2 linked regions of the Coturnix japonica genome follow. The protein of the gene in region 2 interacts with the protein of the main gene of each other region in a biochemical or structural test. Links are inferred from orthologs where the notes say so. Each region holds a gene or a part of one and is shown on either strand. Other genes may lie near its edges. The genes, in order: PIAS4 and TOP2A.

Region 1 (3,966 bases), on a different chromosome or scaffold from region 2:
AACGCTGACGTCAACCGCCCCCCTTTTATAGGGCGGCGCCGGCCGGAAGGAGGAGCCTACGCGTGCGCGTGCGCAGATGCGACTATCTAGCACCCCCCGCTGCCGGCAGCTCTATGGTCGGGCGGTCAGGTCCTCCGAGGGCCGCAGTCAGGATCCACGCGGTCCCCGCTCAGAACCCGCAGCGGAAACAACGCGGTCACAGCGGGTACAACCCGGACAACGTGCCCGGGGCGCTGCTCAAGGCCTCGAGAGCGGCTCCGCCTTTACCCGGAGCGCTGGGCCGTCCAAAGCGGCACCGGGCCGGGCTGGGCGAGCACCGCCCATAGCGGCGTCTATGGACTAGGTGCGCATGCACCGGCCGGAACTGCGGAGGGCATGGAGCTCACTAGCGCCCCCTGCAGGCCGGGAGGAGCGGGGGTGGGCAGGGGGCTGCAATGGAGGCACGGGATGGAAGTAGTGTGATGTCTGTGTTATGGAGCGCAAATATCAGCTCGAAAACTGGAGGTCTTCTATTGAGACATCAATAGATTCCTCTATCTATAGAGCCCTCTGATCCCTCTATCAATAGATGGGTTTTGAGTGATGTTTTCTAGTTGATGAGCCTCACTGCAACTTAGGGACACGCTGCTGGCCCCATTGTGTTATTGTTATTATTAGGATTAGGACCCCATTATTATTGTTATTAGGATTGTATTCAGAGAGACTGACAACACAGCACCCAACCTGACACCCCAGCCATACGTAAGGAACTCAGGACACTGGTAAGCCAGTCCGAGCACACTGTCTGTGATGTCAATTAGGCTGAAAGGCAGCCAGGCAGGTATCCCCATCACCGGCTCCCATAGGCTAAATACATTACAAATATCACCATGCTCAGAAGCTGGGACTATAAGCACATATAGGCATATAATGACCCTCAGTCCTAACCCGTCCCCTTCCCTCTCCCCGTACCCATGTAAGGCAGCCCACAGGTAAAGAAAAGAAAGCAGGAGAGCTGTCATTAGCTCTGCTGTCCTCCCTCCATCCCCGCATCCTCCATCCTCTCCGTCCCGTTTTAGGGGCGCGGTCCCTTTAAGACCCCCGGAAGGCGGAGCGGGGCGGGGTGGCTCTATTGCGCCTGCGCGTTGCGGCGGCGGCCTCCGAGGTGAGGAACTCGAAATTGATTGGTCGACGCGTCTCCCGCGCGCCCCTCCCCTCGCCGCTAGGCGTCACGTGACCCGGCGGCGGCTCCCGGCGCGGTGGACGCTGGAGGCCAAGATGGCGGCGGAGCTGGTGGAGGCCAAAGTGAGTGAACGGCGGCGGCGGAGGCGGCTCGGAGAGACCGGGCCGGGCGGGAGCGGGATGAGGGCTCAGCTGCCGCCCCTCACAGCGCGGAACCGGCGGCGGGCGGGGCGGTTCGACGGGTGGGAGCTGGGGGGCGGCACCCCGGGACCGCCCCCCCCCTCCCCGCCATCCCGGTTCGTTGTCCCGTTTTACCTCAGGGCCGAACATCCCCGGGATGAGGCCTGTGCGGGGCTAAAGGCCTCGGGGCGGGGCGGCAGCAACGGGGCTGCCCTGCATCCATCTCCTGTCACAGCCCACAAGGGACAAGGGCTGCTTGTGGTGGCAATGGGAGGGCGGGGGGCGGCCCAACTGAGTGCCCACCCTATAACCTGTAACCTATAGCCTATAACCTGTAGCCTATAAACTATAGCCTATAACCTATAGCCTATAACCACCCAGTGTTTGAGTTGGGGGGGGCTGTGAGTGCCCCCCTGTAATATATAACCTATAACCTATAACCAACCAGTGTTTGAGTTGGGGGGGGGGCTGTGAGTGCCCCCCTATAACCTATAACCTGTAACCTATAACCACACAGTGTTTGGGGGGGGCTGTGAGTGCCCTGAGTGCCCCCCTATAACCTATAACCACCCACTGTTTGGGGGGGGGCTGTGGAGCTCCTGACCCCCCCACTCAGTGCTCCCCCAATATTGAGTTATTATGGGGCTCATAGAGAGGTTGTGTGGCACTCTTGGCTCTATGGTGCAGCTGTTTGAAGGGATCCGCTTGGTTGAGCCCATCCCTGCAGTGGGGTCTCTATGGGGTTGGGGTCAGCCAACAAGCAGGGATGTGGCTGAAAGGAGACGTTTTATGAGGCCCTCTGGTCCCCATCTCACAGCTGTTCGGCCCCTCTTGGTTGCTGTGGGCCCAGGACCCCTCTGCAGGAGATGTGCTGCCTCCTTTACACAGCACAGCTGATGCTCGGAGCCAGGATGGAGCTGACCTCAGTGCTAAGGGATCTCAGCGCTTCATGCAGATCCCAGCCTCAGTGACACGTTGTTATTGTTTAATGAGACTTGCTCTGGAGCAATACAGGTCCTGAATCTAAGGCTGAAGGCTGTTGGTTCCGACCCCAAAGGCTGTTGGTTCTGCAGCAGAAGTGCCAAGTGAGTTGTGCTGTGGGAGCAGTGAGCGTAGGAGCGCTGCTGTGCTGCTGGGAGCAGCGTTGTGGCCGTGCCGTGCTTATCTTTGCTGATACACGTTTATCCTTGAATGTGCCCCAGTGAAGACGGCACGCTCTCCGTTCTGTACCGTTCTGAAGCACAAACTAAATTCCTCCAGGGTCACACAGGTGCTGCATCACAAAGCAATGAACCCACATCTCTTGTCATAGCAGTTAAATGTCCTTCTCTCCTCTTGCAAGTTGTCTGTTTCCTTCCCTCTCCTTCTGGGAGAGCAGAGCCCCGTCCTATGGCTGCTTCTGCTCTTTGCTGTGGGATGGCAGAGGTCTTGAATTCCTGTGTTTTCCACAATCTATGGAAGCTGCGGAGGGGGTACACATGGTTGGCTATCAAGTGGACTCTTAGGGCAGCTTGAATCTTGACAAAAACCTGCTTTATAAGCTTGATGGCCCTTTGCCATGCAAGACAAGCATGACGTCCATCTGACTGCTTTCAGCAGAGGCCATTTCTAGCTCCTAGTCTGCTGTAGCATTGGACTCCCTTTAAACCTGCTGATGGTTCCAGGCCTCCTGAGCTCCCACAGCAGCAGGAAAGTGCATTAGTGAAGGTAGGGATTGTTTTCACCTCTTATCAAAGCACTGACATCCCCAGCAGCAGCCCTGGGTGCTGGCTGTGAGCGTGGGGGAGTGCTTGGCAAAGCCCCCGCCTGCAGGCATTGTTCTCATGGGAACGCACTGCTCTCTTCAGTCTTCTCTTCCCATAGCTGGAAATATACGTGCTCGGTTCTTTCTTCAGGTTCTACATGTCTAAGAAGAGCTCTAGAGGGTTTGTTTTGCCTGTGGAAACAGCACAGAGGTGCACTGAAGGACCAGCAGCCCCCTTCACTTTAGTGTTCTGTTTTCTCCCTTCTTTTGCTCTTTAAACCCTTCAGAGACTCAGGGAAGTGCTTTAAGCTCCTGCCTGGTGTTAATACACTGAGCTGCACTGACACCAGTATGATGTGTGTTGGAGTTTTCTCCTCCGTGCTCACTGTTAGAATCATTGTTGGGTGTCTATCACTTTATTGAGTGACTCGTGTTCTGTGGTCTGGGTGGGTCGGTGGGTTCCGAGCCATAGAGAACAGGAAGAACTTTCTCTTTGCCTTCGTATCACTGTAAGAACATCTTTAATTTTTTTATCCCCTAGAACATGGTGATGAGTTTCCGAGTCTCAGATCTTCAGATGTTGCTGGGTTTTGTTGGCAGGAGTAAAAGCGGACTTAAACACGAACTAGTCACCAGAGCATTGCAGCTGGTCCAATTTGACTGCAGCCCTGAGGTTTTCAAGAAGATCAAGGAGCTCTACGAGACCCGTTATGCCAAGAAGAGCTCCGAGGCCCCGCAGCCGCACCGCTCCCCTGAGGCACTCCCCATTCACTCTTCATACGACCGTGGGAGCGCCATGGCTCGGACTTCTATCTCCACCCCCAACATTGACTATCCCACTCTCTATGGGAAATACCTGAACGAACTGGGCAGGTTGCCCC
Region 2 (16,541 bases):
TGGTTCCTGGTCACTCTCATCTCCTTCTTCTTCTTCCTCCTGAATGAGAATTTAATCAAACATTGTCAGCAAATACAGCCACATACAATGACAGGGCTGCCATGTGCTCACAGTGTCCTGGACCCTCTTAAAGCACAATTCTGAAAAGGATACAGAAGGAATTATGGCCTGAAAGCTGCTACCACACAGAGGAGACCAACTGCAAAGAATTCTTTAAAGCTCTTTTGCTCTGCCCTATTTGGCCTCTGTCTTGAGCAACCAAGTTCTTCTCAGGCTGCTTAACAATTGCCATCGTCCTTGCTGCCCTTTTACAACAAGTCGCTCAGGAAGAGCAGATCGCTTGAGGAGCACTGGAAATGGAAGCAGCAGGACTTTGCCACTGCTGGATCAGTCACCACTCTGCCTCAGTGCCTTCCAAATGAGAGACTGAACATTTCTTTGTCTCGCTTTCCCTATCAGGCACACCAGCTCTTGAATTCTCCAAATGGCAAAGCAGCTTCTGCTTCTTCCTAAGAACTGATAACGAATTGATGACTGAAGTGCTACCTTGTTTTGCAATTCCTTCCAGGCCTTCACTGGATCTGATTCATATCCTCTTTGGATAAGAACTTGAATCAGTTCTTTCTTGGGTTTGTTTTCTGTGAAGAGACATTTCAGAATTGCCAGTTAGTGACCACTGCAGTCCCTGTCAGCAAAGACAAATGACCTTCACATTTTGACTCCAGTAGTTAAAACAGTTCAGCATCCTATACAGCTCTAAAACAGCCTTTCCTAATTCGAGCTGGGACACGTGGCAGGTCCTAAAATAACACCCAAAATTTGCTATTTAGGAGCGATTTGTTAGCTCAGCATTTCTCCTGGGCTGTCAGGAACACCTGCTGGAGCACTCGAAACATTTGCTCCATCATTTCCGTACATGCATTTCCCCTGCCCTAAACAGACTCTGAGTTTGGGGAAAAAAAGGAAGCGTGATGGGATCAGAATGGTTTTATAACAGGCAGGTGGGGGAAAAAGCCCTGATGTGACTTCAAGGCTTCAGCATAGTGTGAGCCTCATTGGGCATCACTTGGGAAATCTATTCTATAAATGGCCCAGCCAATGGTAATGCGTCAGCTGGAATTTTCTTCTTTCTGATGTCGCAGAGGCAATCATCCGTGAGACACAAATACAAATGAAACCAGCTCTGTCAGCCTTGGAACTGCTTATTGCAGCAACCCAAGGAAACGCATTGCAAGGGAACGATTTCCCTTCTTGAGTCAAACAGACACAGACTGTAGGAACACTGGGCAGCCCTCAGACACGAACCACAGAGCATCCCATGACCCATTGTGCAGCTGTGCCTTCCATACATGCAAGTGAAATACAGACTGCCTTGTAGGCTGAGCTGGAGCTGGCTGAGAAGTTCAAGTGCTGTAAACAAAGACCTGTTTCTTTTTCTAGCTCATGATGCTCAGATGCTGTGAGCTTGGCTGCCTTCTAACTTTGAAACTCCACTTCACTGAGAACACAATTTGGAATATTTTGCAGTTTCATAAAGATAACACAGAGAAGATACAGGCTCCTAAGAATGCACGGGAACAGAAAACCCAAACCAACTGGGAACCCCCCCCAGCCCCCCACACCAGCACTTCTTTTCCTACATTTATACTTTTGAAGTAGTGCAAATACACAATAGAAAACCTCTGAGAGTGCTCTGTTTTAATTTATATGTGCATAACACTACAGAGGATGTTCCGTGAAGCATTTTCCTCTTCTATCTTACTAGAATGGAAAGATAAGCTCTGATGTGTTTTGTGAATAGCCAGACTGGGGCTGAGAGGGCGCTGACAGAGCTCAAGAGAGCACCTAATTCTCCCAGTTTCAAAAGCCAAAGAACCAAGAGCAGCACGTACCGATCACAATTTTGCCATCTATTTTCTCCAGGATGAATCGAGCCTGGTTGCTCAGCTTTGCAGACTCGGCACCCAGCATCCCAATAAGCCACTCTTTCCTTAACCCATAGTACCGGAGCCTGAGCTCAAAGAACTCTTTAAGGATGTCCTGAGGAGACTCGTACTTCTTGAGGAAACCAACATGGTCGAAAAGAACCTGGATGAAAGAACATGGGTTTTGTGAGCATAAAACTGATCTTCAAAACCACTGAAAGTCAGTTGTAACGCAGACATGATCCTACAGTCAACTTATTTATTAACCAACCCATTTTAAACCTTAGTGTTGTTTCAGAAATTATTTCAGCTTGCAAGCACAGCAGCAGAGACCATTTTAGAACTTAAAAACACAGAGCTAACATCACTTCAATCTTAAAGCTATTTGTTGGATCCATTTCTTGCATCTAACATCACACGCTGTCAGGACCTGGACATTCAGTGGTGTGTCCTGGGCACAGCAAGGGGCTCCAGGGACTGAGAGATTTCAGATCGCTTTGACACCTACAGTCAAATCCACACCATGTGGGACCCACTGCCAAGTCAGTCTCTTCACCTTTTAAAGGTGAATTTAGAAACTCTCTTCATCAAAATCTATTACATACCATAGAATTGCAAGTAAGACTTGTTTGAAGCTTAAAGACTTTGTGCAATCCAGCAGCTTCTGCCTGTGCAAGTTTTTCTTCTGTCATCTTCACAACAAATTTCACAGTCGTATCAGTGTGGTATTCCTTGTAGTCAGTAATTAATGGGGGGGTCTTCTCAGTTCCATTCAACATAGGTTCCAGAACTTGCTCTTTGTAGGTCTGAGAAAAGAATCAAAGTCAGACCTGTGGTTCTACAGAGATGAAAAGTTAATGAACACTAATATTCACTTTTTACTTTACAGGGCAAATTCAGCATTCGTTACCTGTGTCCATGTTCTGACAGGCAGCTCAGTGATTTCAATGGTTGTAGAATCAAGGATAGACACTTCACCACTTATCACATACTGGTTAGGTCCAAGCTCATCTATTGTGCCTTTGAAATTCCTGTAGCTGGGAAGCTAAGAAGGAAAGAAACCAAACACTGGATTGCAAGCACTCAAAAAAAAAAAAGCAGCATATGCTTCAATATATGCTGAATAAACCAACAAATGAGACGTTGATTCTTGAATACATCATTTACCATCGGCAGCGGTTCGTTTCCATCCAGCATTCGTCTGATGTTGTTTACAATCTCTCTGGTATCATAGTTTGGAAGTTTGCAAGCCCATCCAGTACCGATTCCTTCAGCTCCGTTTACTAAAACCATAGGAATGATGGGCATATACCATTCAGGCTCTACACGTTGGTTGTCATCATAAAGGAATTTCAGCAAGTTGTCATCCACTGGTGGAAAAAGAAGCCTGGCTAAAGGGCTAGAAGAGAAAAGAGAAGGTCAGACCAAATTCTCATTACACAACAGTGCCTGCAATGTAAAAAGAACCTCCAGTGTCAGACCAAACAGATCATGGCATGTTTTATTCCCCACCATATGAACCAGTCTGGGTGTTTGTTTTGCTCTCATTTCTGCATTCCATGCTGTTCCTATCTGTTCTGTAGGACAGCAAACCAAGTTCACACATCTGGATCTAGAATCAAAGTCCCACAGACTGTGGCTGCTCTTTTGTATTCAAATGGTGCAGTTTCAGATACTTTAGGGGAAAACATTACTTTTCATTTTAAATGCTGTTAAATAGAGTCTTGTAACAATGCTGAAAATACTTAACAACACTTTAATGCCAACCTTAGCATAGTGGAAATACAGCGAGGGCTGTCAGCATCCTTTCCACCATGAAGCCTGGTACCAAACTGACCAATAGGTTGTAGAAGATTAACATTGTTACTTCCAACAAAGTTCTGAGCCAAGTTGACAATAGTCATCATCAGCGATGCCTGCACGAAAGAAGGTTCAATTATAAAAGTGTTAATTCTTCACTGAAAGGACAACGTTAAGGTAAAATTTACACTGAGAACAGAACCAATATAGAAGATAAATTCAGCTAATAAAAGATATCCTCTCATATCCATCACAAATAAAGCAGGTTTTTCCCGTTCTGTTTTCTTAATGAAACACGTTCCCCTGAGCTGCAGGTAAGATGGGCAGAGTGGCCAATCTCATGAAATTGAGAGATTTCTGCTTTTCTTCAAGCATTTTGCACAATGAGCGGGTTCTTACCTCCCCATGGTGATAAGCTGACATTTCAGCAACAGAACCAGCCAGCTGAGCAACCTTTACTTCACGTTTATCATTTCTCTTAAAGCAAGTGAACAAAACCTTGCGCTGCTCTGGTTTTAAACCTGCACAGAGAAAAAAAAGACCTCGTGTTTCAGACTCACAATATGTTTCACTTATCTTCCGTTCTCTAGAGACTAACAGTAACTTAGAGACCTGAAGATTCTGCACCACTGGAGTTAAATATAGAGCAGAGAAGACATTTAATCCAAAGGTTAAAACACTTGGAAGGTAGAAAAGTGGAGTTCAGAACACAAACCCTGAAATGCACCCAAACAACCGTTCTGGTAGGACACACCAAAACATCCCTCAGTGCGTCCTGGGAAAGCCCTGTATGAAATCACTGCCTTGAAATAACTTACCATCAACCAGGGATGGGATCGATCTTTCATTATCTGAGTTTGAGAACAGGACCAACTCCTTGTTGATGAAGTCGTTGTATGTCAGGTAATTAGTATCTTTCCCATACAGGTAGTCCTAAGAAAAACAAATGCAAGAGCGCTTTAATTTTAACAAGGCTTAACCTGTTTCTTAGCTCACACTTGGCTAGTTTCACTAAAATGGAAGATCCTGGTAAGACTACAGGTAAACACAGCGAAGGTGACGACATTCTCAGCATGGAAAAACAAAACAATGCTTCCCCTGAAACACCTTCACCTAGTTCTGCTCAAGCTGCCATTTCCCTTTTGAATAAAGTAGTTTGAAAGAGTTAGAAATGGAAAGAATGATCGACTTGATGACACTGAGGTTATACAATGCAAAAAGGAGCAGCAGGTCTGCAGAATCCCAAAGCATTACCTATCAGTCCTGTGCGTAACCCAATGCCTACACTGCATCCAGCCCTAGCGTGTCAGAATTAAACTGAGAACAGGGAGATGGGAAATCAAATTCCTCCATATACATAAACTCTTTACCTCCGGCAGGCCATGCAGCTTCCGCTGTCTTCTATCCTCCATGAAATTAGTCAGCCATTCCTTTCGTTCTTCTACCTTCTTCTTACTAAAGGCCTGTGTTGCAAATTAAGAAATAATTCAAGTTCTGGGACATTCTGTGTGCCCTACTGGAACACTGGTGAACCATTTCAGGAGAAAAAATTTTAGAGGAGAAAGGAGAGGTTTAGCTCAGAGGAAACTGCAGGTAAACACACAGAATAATGCTGAAGGAATATTTACTATTGTGTCTGAAAATGTCAATTGGTTTGTAGTGGTTATAGTTTGTTCTGAGCTATATTTAAAAGCCATCATTGAAAGGGTGCTCCTGGCCTGAGGTCTGTGGACAGATTTGCTTCTACTGGTTGAACTGAGGCTGTAGCCTTGGTAACAAAGAGACCATCTCAGGCCCAAAGGCCTCTGAGAGCATTTTAAGAGAAAATACGCAGCAAAATACTCAAGGTAGTAAATCAGCAATTAAGTCAAGTGTAAGTTACCAGGGTGATGGCAGCATCATCTTCTGGACCAGAGTACTTGAAGCCAATTCGATGTCTAGCCATATCTGCAAAGTATTCCTTTGCCTCCTTCGATGTGCTGGTACCCAAACCTGCAGAACCAACAACTAGTCAGCCCTAATTTCTTGCTTCAATTAAGTTGCACTTCAAAGGAAGGCATTACTATATCCAATTTCCGTAATACATCACATAAATGCACAGCATGAAGATGGTTCTATTAAAACCTTTGCTGGGATGTAAGGTATCACAGAAGTAGTGGGGATTGAAGACAACTGGGCAGTTGCACTTTTAGTCTGGATTCCTCACCACCCGGCTGTTGTTATGCAGCTGGCAGCTCCCTTACCAGCATGCAGCCATTCAGAGCAGTTTAGGAGGGAAGTGAATTTTGGAGGCCACCTGCTCCAAACCCCCTTTTTTCTGCAGAAGCTGGACTAACTAAGTTTAATAACAAACTTGCCTTCACCATATCAGGTTTCCTACAAACCTTTGTAGTACTTGATTTTCCATGTGTTGTAGTTTTGTGTGCTGTTTTTCCATTCTTCAAACTCAGGAATGCTGTAGAATGCAATTTCTTCTTTGTTTTTAGAGACCTAAAGAGAATGAAGATGTTAATTGTGAAAGCAGATGTGGTCCAACATGATCCTATTCCCTCACCTTCCAACCTCCTCAGCCCTTACCTTTATGATGGGGGTAATAAATTCCTCCAAGAAGTTGTGTCTTAGAAGAGAAGGCCAGTTGTGATGGATGAAGTTAATCAGCAAACCTTTGATATGAGATCCATCTTGATCCTGTTTGGTGGTTTTATTTTGGAGAGAAGTACAAGTTTAACCAGAGCCCTGATGGCCGTGCCAGTTGTTAGTTCAATAATGAGGATACACACAAACCCAGCTACTGAGAACTATTAACTTTCAGTTCCAAAGAAGCAGCCACGCTTTGAGTACTGAAAGTTAACAGAAGGAAGAGACACATTTGTGGTGAACAAATTTCTCCAGTTTTGAATTTCAGTGAGCCTAACCTGATCTGTCATAATCATGATCTTCCCATAGCGAAGAGTCTTTAAAGATTCTCGATCCTCGTAATTCTTCTTATACTGTAAACCCACAATTTTGATGATGTTGTTGATTTCAGCATTTTCCATTATCTGGAAAAGATCACAAGGAATAAAAACTTTTCTACCAGACTCAAAACAGCAAAGACACCCATCGGCTGTACACCCCTAACCGTGCTCTGCCTTCCCAGAGTTTCCTCTGTTTAGAGCATCTCATTAATTCCAACCCAGTGTCTAATCTTTAAATTTCTCAGGGCTATTTCAAACATTTCCTAGAACATTTCCTAGCCCACAGCACAAATGCAAAGCACTGCCCGGGATTTGCTTAGTATTCCTGCTTAATCAGAAAGGCAATCTGAACGTGAGACCAGACCCACACCTTTGAGTTACAGCATCAAAAGCCCTCAGCTGTACCCACACTGCATGACATGAAGCACACCACAGCTCCCAGCACAGGCTATTAAGGTCTCCCCACTAACCTGTTTATGAGAAGCTTCCCTGACGTTGAGCATTTTCCCACGAAGGGGAAATACTCCATATTTGTCTCTACCAACCACTCCTAAACCAGAGACAGCCAGCGTTTTGGCTGAGTCTCCCTCGGTCAGGATGAGTGTACAATCTATTGAATTCTTGCTGCCTGAAAAACAAAAAGCAAAAACCCAAGTCTTCCAATTAAGAAGTGAAGTCAAGGCTAATATAGCACAGGCTGCAGGAGACACCATAAAATATACAGGTCTGGCTGCACTGCACAAACTGCAATGCAAAACGAGCACAAGCTGGCGTTTTCTTTAGATGATTGTTTCATTTGCCTGGTGAGCAAATGTTATCTCTGAAGAAACTGGCTACAAAGGATGTGAAATACTTACCAGCATCATTGGCATCATCCAGTTTAGGAACGCCCTTAATCTTGGTGTGCTTCACAGCTGAACATTTCTTATTCAGCTGGGTCTGAGCTTTAAATTTTACCCAGTTTAGGATACTTTCAACAATGCCACAGCCAACTGCCTGCAATGCCAACAAAATTACAGAACAAAATCAACAGTGGGAAAAGCTTTAAGTTATGTTTTCCTTTAATTCATGACTTTGTAAGCCATGTATTTGCCATGTTAGTTGCAGCTTTACAGACGTGCTGATTATCCACACACACCAATACTTACACCCTTGATAAATTTCTCACTCAGCTTGCACGTCGAGCCAAAGCTCTTGGCCTGCAGAGTCATATTCTCTTTAGTCTGAGAGTCAAAGGTTGGGTTTTCAATCAAGCAATTCACAAAAATCCACATGTGATTCTTCACCTGCAGGCAAACAAGACGAGCATTACAAACTGCACAGGCTCCACTCCCTGGAACAGCAGTGTTTTCTTCCTGAGAATCACCTGTCAGCATCATGCAGCGAGGAAAACAAGTTCAATTATTGCTGCGTGGTTTTTGAACTTTCCTAGATGTCTTTTGGCAGAATTTAGGACAGCTAATGAGTGTTCACAAAGTTACATGATTTGGGGTGCCAAGACATCAGCAGCCCTCCCACTAAAGAAAACCTAACAGCTACTGAGCTGTAATGCTTCCTTACTGACCCAGAGCACTCTGATTGCTGCAGCTAAACAAAGGGAATATGGCTTGGTGGCTTAAACTGGAATATATGGGGCTTCTTTAGTTGGGAATTCTGACATCGCACCTGAAACGGTTTCACTCCAACTCCATTTTTGTTCTTCTTTTTCACAACATCAATGAGTTTAGTCACAATCTGGTCAGCTACGTAATCAACGTGCCTGCCACCCTGGGGGAAAACGGGACCAAAGAACCTGAGGTGACTCCACTGAACCAAAACACAGAGCCAACAACAAAGAATATGAAGTGAATGTGAGCACGGGAGCAAAAGAATCACCTTTGTGGTGGCAATGCTGTTGACAAAGCTAACTTGCTGGAATCCTTTTTCACTTAAAGTCAAGCACACTTCCCACCTGGAATTCACTTCCTCATGAATAACCTTAAGTGCATTTCCAGTCTCATCCACTTTGTCCTTCAGATAGAGGTCCACGTAACTGCGGAATCCTTTCACCTACAAATGAAACCAGACAACTCATCTGTAACAGCTCCTATAAATACTTAATGCACATCCCCCTGCAAAGCCAGGAGGAAAAATTGCTTGGCAAGCTTTCATTTTATTATGTGCAATGGCATAAACTGCTTCAACAAAACTTCACTGGTAAATGTCATAAGAAACACAGATGTTCCCCCATTTAAATGCTCACTTACAGGCAACTTCTTCCCATTCAACATAACTTTGACTCCTTTGCATGACCCAGCCAAATCATATGCTCTTCTTGTCATCAGGGACACGATGTCCTTGTCAAGAATCGACATTTTGAACTTTGACAGATCAGGTTGGAAGGTGACACACGTGTAATCCTCCCCATCAAAATGCTTCAGTGTCATTTCACCGGCCTTCCCCATGTTGTCTGTCCAGGTCTGAGGAGATGAGTTGTTGTCAGTTGTGAGTGTAACAAACACAAGAAAGCAGCACAGTATCTAACAGGTACCAGGTTAATTCTAGTCACAGCAATGACACCTAGATTCACATAGGAAAAACTCAAGTCATATTTGCAAATCTCAGGTGTGACCTCACTGAAATGGGCAGTGTTCATACCTGCTTGAACAGCTTTTTGTATTCACGACACGCAGTCTCCACGGTAAATTTGGTGCTGAATATGTTGCACAGTTTGGCTCCATAACCATTTCGCCCACCTGGATTCAGGAAGAAAACATGTCTGAGTTGTTACCTTTGCTCAAAACCACCAGAGAGAACTCCAGACCAACAAGAGCTCATTCATTTCAGCACCAAGTATGACTAACAATAAACTGTCCCACAAACCCTGCAGCCACTATAAAGCTGCATTTAATTAACACCAGTTACTCATATAGGTACTTCAGTTCCCAGATCACACAGTCAGGCTGCCCAGGTACATCTGCACGCTCTGCAGTGTTCCCTACCTGTGACTTTCTTCTCATCATCATCGTAGTTGCTGGATGTCAGCAGCTGCCCAAAGATTAAAGCAGGAACATACACTTTTTCTACTTTGTGTTCAACAACTGGGATACCCTTCCCATTGTTCCACACACTGATGGTGTTATTCTCTCTGGAGGAGGAGGAAAGTATAATTTGTAAGGCTGCAGATGACTGAGCTCTGAAACAAATAGACAAGATCTCCACAGGAAGGCCACCATTTCATCTACAGACAGATTCCTGTTCAGCAACTGCGGCAGCAGCCAGCAGAGGGAGGGCAAGTCTACAAAAAGCCCTCCAGCTTCAGACCTGCAGAGCACCAATACAATGGAGCAGCACACAGAAAGCGTGTGCTCAGTGCAACCACAGCCTGGCAGTCAGTGCTCTGCAACAGAACGAGGAAGCACACAAGGAATGAGGCTGTTACAGCCCATGAGCCACGGTAGGTTTAACATGAATAGGCCTCGACACTGAGCTCTGCAGCACCTACATCAACAGGATGATGTACATACACCAACAGGGCAGTGAGGGAGTGAGAGAATGAAGCAGCTGAGGGGGGAAGGCATTGGACAAAAGCAGCACTCACGGGTCGATGGTAACTTTGATGCAGGACATGCTTTTATCCCTCTGCTTGTTGTCTGCAGCGTTGACTGGAAGGGGAAGGTGACTTTTATTAGAGCGCATTCACAAGTGGGACAATAGACATAAACCATAGTGAAAGGGCTAAATCAGGTGGGGTTTTCAGTAGAACAAATGCAAAGATCCAATGCAAAACCACCAATTAACTCTTTGGAAGGGAGATGTTTGGCAGGTTACAAAGAAGGACGCTACAATAACAGCACCCACAGCAGAACTGAGGGTTAAACGGGCTGTAACACAGCGGCCGTGTCCTTTGGAGGGCAGGTACAATGCTGGGCTGCACTCACCCAGGATCTCATCGAAGATCTTGTACAGGCCAGGCACGAAGGTCACATCCCTGCAGTTGAGGCCCACGTCCTCATCGAACACCCACATTTGCTGCAATGAAGAAGGAGCCACATACAGCACACACATACACCACATATAGCACATATAGCACATATATCACATACACCACATATATCATATATACCACATACACCACATATATCACACATGCCACATACATTACATACACCACATATACCATATATACCACATACATTACACACACCACATATAGCACATATATCATATATACCACATACATCACATACACCACATATAGCACATATATCATATATTATATATACCACATGCATTACATACACCACATATACATACCACATACAATACATACACCACATATATAATACATACCACATATATCACATATACCACATACATTACATATACCACATACATCACATACACCATGTATAGCACATATATCACATATATATCATATATACCACATACATTACATACACCACATACATTACATATACCACATACACCACATATACCATATTTGCCACATATACCACATATATCACATATACCACATACATTACAGACACCACATACATTACACACACCACATATAGCACATATATCATATATACCACATACATTACATACACCACATACATTACATACACCACATACACCCCATGTCACATACATGTCACATACACCCCATGTCACATACATGTCACATACATGTCACATACCACATACATTACATACACCACATATACCACATACACACCACATACATTACATACACCACACACAGCACATATATCACACATATATCACACATATATCACACATATATCTCACATATATCACACATATATCTCACATATATCACACATACATCACACATACATCACACATACATCACACATACATCACACATACATCACACATGTATCACACATGTATCACACATGTATCACACATGTATCACACATGTATCACACATATATCACATCACACATATATCACACATGTATCACACATGTATCACACATGTATCACACATACATCACACATACATCACACATACATCACACATACATCACACATACATCACACATATATCACACATATATCACACATCACAGGTCTCCCCACCTGCGTGACGGTCTCCACAGACCCGATGTACGTGTCCGGCCGCAGCAGAATATGCTCCAGCTGCGTCTTCTTCTGGTAGATGCGCTCCACCGAGAGCCGCTTCTGCGCCACATCGGCCTTGGGCAGCCGGGCGTTGTCGTGAAGGGGCTGCGGGAGAGAGCGGAGCTCAGCGGGGTGGGGAGGGAGGGATGGAGGGAGGGTCTGGTCGGTCCCTCACGTACCCGGAGCGGCGCCGGTGAGTCCATGAGCTCCATGGCGGCGGGCGCGGAGTGATGGCGGCCGGTAACGGCGCAGCGCGTTTCAAACCTCCGCCGAGCCCGCCGAAACGCTCCGCCAATCACAGCGCACCGCCCCTTGAAAACAGCCAATCGCTGAAGGGCGGAGGGACGTACGGCCCGCCCTCCCGTGCGCTCCGCTCTTTCAAAACCAGACAGTCGGGAGAGGGGGCTGCTTGATGGGCAGGTCTGGTAACCAATAGAGGAGCGAGGAAGGAGGGCGCTGCGAGGCACGCAGTACATCGTTTGGGGGGCGGCGGCGTGCGGGGCAGTGCGGGACTGTGCCCCCCCAAAACCATCCTCAGCACCACGGCGGCATCCCAGCCCCATATCCAGCCCCATATCCAGCCCCATATCCAGCCCCATATCCAGCCCCATATCCAGCCCCATATCCAGCCCCATATCCAGCCCTATATCAGCCCCATATCAGCCCTATATCAACCCCATATCAGCCCCATATCAGCCCCATATCAGCTCCATATCAGCCCTATATCAGCCCAATATCAGCCCTATATCAGCCCCATATCAGCCCCATATCAGCCCTATATCAGCCCCATCCCAGCCCTATATCAGCCCCATCCCAGCCCTATATCAGCTCCATATCAGCCCTATATCAGCCCCATATCAGCCCTATATCAGCCCCATATCAGCTCCATATCTGCCCCATCCCAGCCCCATATCTGCCCCGTATCAACTCCATATCAGCCCCATACCTGCCCCATATCAGCCCCATCCCCGCCCGCCCATCCCGCCCATCCCGTTCATCCCGCACGGCGGTTCCATTCGGTTCCATTTGGTTCCATTCGGTTCCATTTGGTGCCATCCCGAACGCAACAAATAGAAGCAGCGCGTTGTAACCGCCCGATGTGCAGCTTTGATTGATCCTTTATTTATATCCGAGGAAACGTGGGCGCTGTGTGTGTGTGGGGGGGGGGGGGGGGGCTCCGTGATGGACGGGGTGTCCGGTGTCCCGCTGCTCCCAGCCGCAGCCCCCCCCAATTCCGGGGGTCTCTCACCACATGTGTCGGTACGGGAAGGCGACCTCCACGCACAGCACCGCCAGCTCCTCGGAGCAGTTTCGGCGCTGCCCGGCCAGCAGCCGGCCCGGACCCAGCGGGGCCGCCAGACCCTCCCCGGGGCCGGAGCTCCGCCAGCCCTGACAGTCCCGGCGCTGGGAATGGCCGCCCCGCCCCGTGGATCCGTGCCACGCCAACCTGCGGGGCCTGCGGGGAGACGGGATGACGGGGAGCCCCGGGGAGACCCCCCGACATCCCACCCTTCGTGGGCCGGGACTCACCAAAGGGCATCGCTCAGCACGTTGCGCCCATTGAACGTGTAGATGGGGCTGCGCAGGGCGGCTCCAGCCGGGCTCTGCAGGAGGGAGCTCCAGGAGCGAGCCAGCAGCTGGCCCTAAGGACACGGGGGGGGCAATGAGCTTTGGGGGGGGGCAGTGAGCTTTGGGGGGGGGACAAGCGTTCCTCAAAGCCCGCTGTCCCCATTGCAATGGCTGTGGGTGCGTCTCGGTGCAAGGAAAACACACGGGGAGCCCGTGCTTGCTGGGGGGATAAAGCCCTGCCTTCAGGTTGACGATGGGGAGGGTCCTGTCCGTCCTCTTGACGATGGAGGCCAGGTCCTGGCTGGGGGCCGACAGGAACGCCCGGAAGGTTCCGTAGAGCCCGGCCTCGTGGGACTGCCGGTAACACTGCAGGTCGGCACCGCGGATACCGCTCATGTCCCCGGACAGGGGCACGTTCAGGGCCACCAGGCGGAGCTGCGGGGACAGCAGGGGGCAGAGCGTGGGGGGCCGGGGGTCCCGGGGTGTGTGCCATCATCGCACACCCCATGGGGCACTGCAGCCCCCCGCGCTGGGCACTGAGATCGCTTTTCCTATGCAGACCCACGGACACGGTGGGTGGAGTTGGGGTCCCCAGGCAGCGTGGGGTTGGAAGGGGGCAGAAAATGGGGCAACGCTTACAGAGGGCATCCTGGGGGCTGCGGTGGTCGGCGGGGTGCTGGGCAGCACAGCTCCGTCCTCCTGCAGGGCCTGCAATAGTGGGGGATGGCAGTCTCAGTGCCCAGGGTGCTCCCATTGCCACCCGGGGTCTCCAGGTGCCACCTCCATCCCTCTGCTCACCACTGAGTCCGCCCGGACCCCCGAGGGTGGCTCTGTGCTGGGACCTCGTGTCCGTGCCTGCTTTGCCTCCTGCACGGAGAGGGGAGGGCAGTCCCAGGGGGGCACCCCCCCCGGGGGTCTGTCCCTTTGCCTCACCTGGTATTGTGCTGTGGCGGCGGAGGGGTCGTCACCCGCAAAGAGCGACTCCGAGTCCTCCAGCTGCAGAAGGGCAGTTAGGTGGGACCAGACACAGTGTGTGTCCCCCCCCCCAATCCCATGACGGTACCAGCAGCCTGCTCCAGCCCCGGGGGGTGCGCAGGAAGGCGCTGCTCCCCTCCCGCACGTAGACCAGGCTGCCCTCGGGGATGGCGCTGCTGGACTTCAACATCAGCTCCTTCGACCTGAACACCCACGTTTGGCGCTGGGAGGGACAAGGAGGGGGGTCAGGGCCCAGCTGACACCCCCTGCCCAGGGGGAGCCGCCTACACATTGGGGGTAACCCATGGGCACAGCCCCCCACGCACCTGGAGGTCGGCACTGGGCTCCAGCGGCTCTGGGTGGGGAATATCAGCATCTGGAGAAGCTGGGGAGGGTTTGGGTTAAAGGTGGGACTGGAGTTGGGTTGAGGTTGGGTTTAGGGGCAGGGTTGGGGTCACGGGGCACCCCGATACCATGGGGACACCGGGACAACCCCATGGCCCTGGTGCAAGGGCACGAAGCTTTGCAAAAGTGCTTCCAAGGAGGCAGGAGTTCACCCAAATACCCGCAGAGCCCCTTACCCACTGCCCAGGCTGCGCTGGCCGCTGCCTGTGAATGCAAACGGGGCTGTTACTGCTGCTGGGACACAGGGGCACGGCGGTGACAGCCCTTAGGGAGGGGGCAGCAGCTTACCGGCTGCTTGCAGGGCTGCTGTCCTCGTATGGGGTACACCCGCTGTGAGCAGAGACAGGAGGATGCACGGGGAGAACCTCGCACTGAGCACAATCACACACGTGTGCACTGTGGCACAGAGGTGTGCTGCCTGTGCACGGCCTTACATTGAGGTAGAGGAGTCCTGGGGCTCCAGGGGGGCCGGGGGGACCAGGGGGGCCGGGGGGACCTCGGGGACCCTGCAGGAAGAGCAGTGTGGAGATGTGGGGCAGAGAGACTTTTGGGGTGGGCGGCTCTATGTCACACTGGGTGCAATGTCTCACATGGGGAACGATCGCTCCGTAGATATCCGGCTCCTCCTTGTGCTGCAGACAGAACATGAGCAGATGGAGGCTGAGCTCCTCCTGCCCACCCCCACCGCCCCCCATCCCAGGACTCACCAGCTGGTACCAGGTGCTGGACTGGCTGCCAGGGCCGGGGAACGGGAGGTGGCCTGGTTTGCAGCCGGGCTCCCCATAGCAGCAGCCCTGGGGGGCACAGTGGGGCAGGGTCAGGGCAGATGGGAAGGGCACATGCCCGGTGTGCAGTGTGCCTGTGCTGCAGGACATGGTGCACCTCACCAAATCCTTCCCCCCCCTGCTCCCCCCATGCAACATCCCCTACAAACCCGCTCTCCTGGATCTCCCTTTTCACCCTGGAAGAAAGCAGAGCAGTCTCATAGACACCCCGATGCAGGTGATCCCAGCCTCATGAGCACCCCAAACCTGGTGCCCGTTGCTCTGCTCACCTTGGGACCTGGTGGGCCGGCTGCTCCATGGTGCCCAGCATGGCGTGTTTCACACTGGGACGATGGGATGTACAGGGTGAGTGCTGGGCACTGCAACCACCCTGAGCACCCCCAGCCCCATACTCACCCTGTAGTCCCCCGGTGGCCCTGGTGGTCCCATAGGACCAGGCATCCCTGGGGCTCCCATCTCCCCGGTGCGGCCAGGGCTTCCTGGCATGCCTGGCAACCCTTGCTCACCCTTATCACCCTGAGGGGATGCAGCACATGGGGCAATGATTCTCATGCCTCCCCAGGGCCCCGCAGCAGCAGAGCATGGAGCTGGATGTGTTCCGCTGCCCCATCCCACCCCCTGGGGTCTGTGGGTAGAAAGGCTGGAGCCCCCCATGGGACCCCTCCTTACTTTTAATCCTGGGAATCCTGGCTCCCCTCGGAGCCCTGGTTTGCCAGGGAATGACGCGGGTCCTGGGGGGCCGGGAGGCCCTTCATGCCCGGGTGCCCCAGGGGGTCCCTGTGTGCCTGGGAGTCCTGGTGCCCCCGGGGGGCCATCGGGCCCAGCCAAGCCTGGGGATCCTGGAGCTCCTTCACTCCCTGGGAACCCGGGTGGCCCCACAGCCCCCGGTGGGCCGGGGGGGCCAGGCTGCCCCTCCCGCCCGGGGTGCCCTGGAGATCCTTCATGTCCTGGGTATCCAGGTGGGCCGGGGGGGCCGGGCAGCCCTGGGG

Evidence for each region.
Region 1: of the proteins of TOP2A (region 2) and PIAS4, one has a biochemical effect on the other in vitro, tested with the Homo sapiens proteins (2 studies listed by BioGRID). The link is inferred for Coturnix japonica from reciprocal best matches to the Homo sapiens genes TOP2A and PIAS4.

The regions. Positions count from the first base shown.
Region 1 is NC_029543.1:789,525-793,490, reverse strand, and holds the start of PIAS4 (E3 SUMO-protein ligase PIAS4), read left to right. Parts: upstream 1-1,166; 5' UTR 1,167-1,257; coding exon 1,258-1,284; intron 1,285-3,626; coding exon 3,627-3,966.
Region 2 is NC_029542.1:4,095,183-4,111,723, forward strand, and holds the start of TOP2A (DNA topoisomerase 2-alpha), read right to left. Parts: upstream 12,310-16,541; 5' UTR 12,295-12,309; coding exon 11,998-12,294; intron 11,924-11,997; coding exon 11,777-11,923; intron 10,694-11,776; coding exon 10,603-10,693; intron 10,327-10,602; coding exon 10,263-10,326; intron 9,810-10,262; coding exon 9,664-9,809; intron 9,418-9,663; coding exon 9,320-9,417; intron 9,142-9,319; coding exon 8,929-9,141; intron 8,732-8,928; coding exon 8,558-8,731; intron 8,450-8,557; coding exon 8,348-8,449; intron 7,969-8,347; coding exon 7,831-7,968; intron 7,679-7,830; coding exon 7,540-7,678; intron 7,311-7,539; coding exon 7,153-7,310; intron 6,767-7,152; coding exon 6,641-6,766; intron 6,414-6,640; coding exon 6,303-6,413; intron 6,216-6,302; coding exon 6,110-6,215; intron 5,718-6,109; coding exon 5,608-5,717; intron 5,189-5,607; coding exon 5,096-5,188; intron 4,659-5,095; coding exon 4,544-4,658; intron 4,247-4,543; coding exon 4,125-4,246; intron 3,842-4,124; and 13 more. Other genes in the region: collagen alpha-1(III) chain-like, read right to left, coding at 13,064-13,274, 13,349-13,461, 13,628-13,822, 14,027-14,095, 14,186-14,254, 14,321-14,383, 14,451-14,585, 14,689-14,747 and 9 more. UniProt on the Homo sapiens protein: Key decatenating enzyme that alters DNA topology by binding to two double-stranded DNA molecules, generating a double-stranded break in one of the strands, passing the intact strand through the broken strand, and religating the broken strand.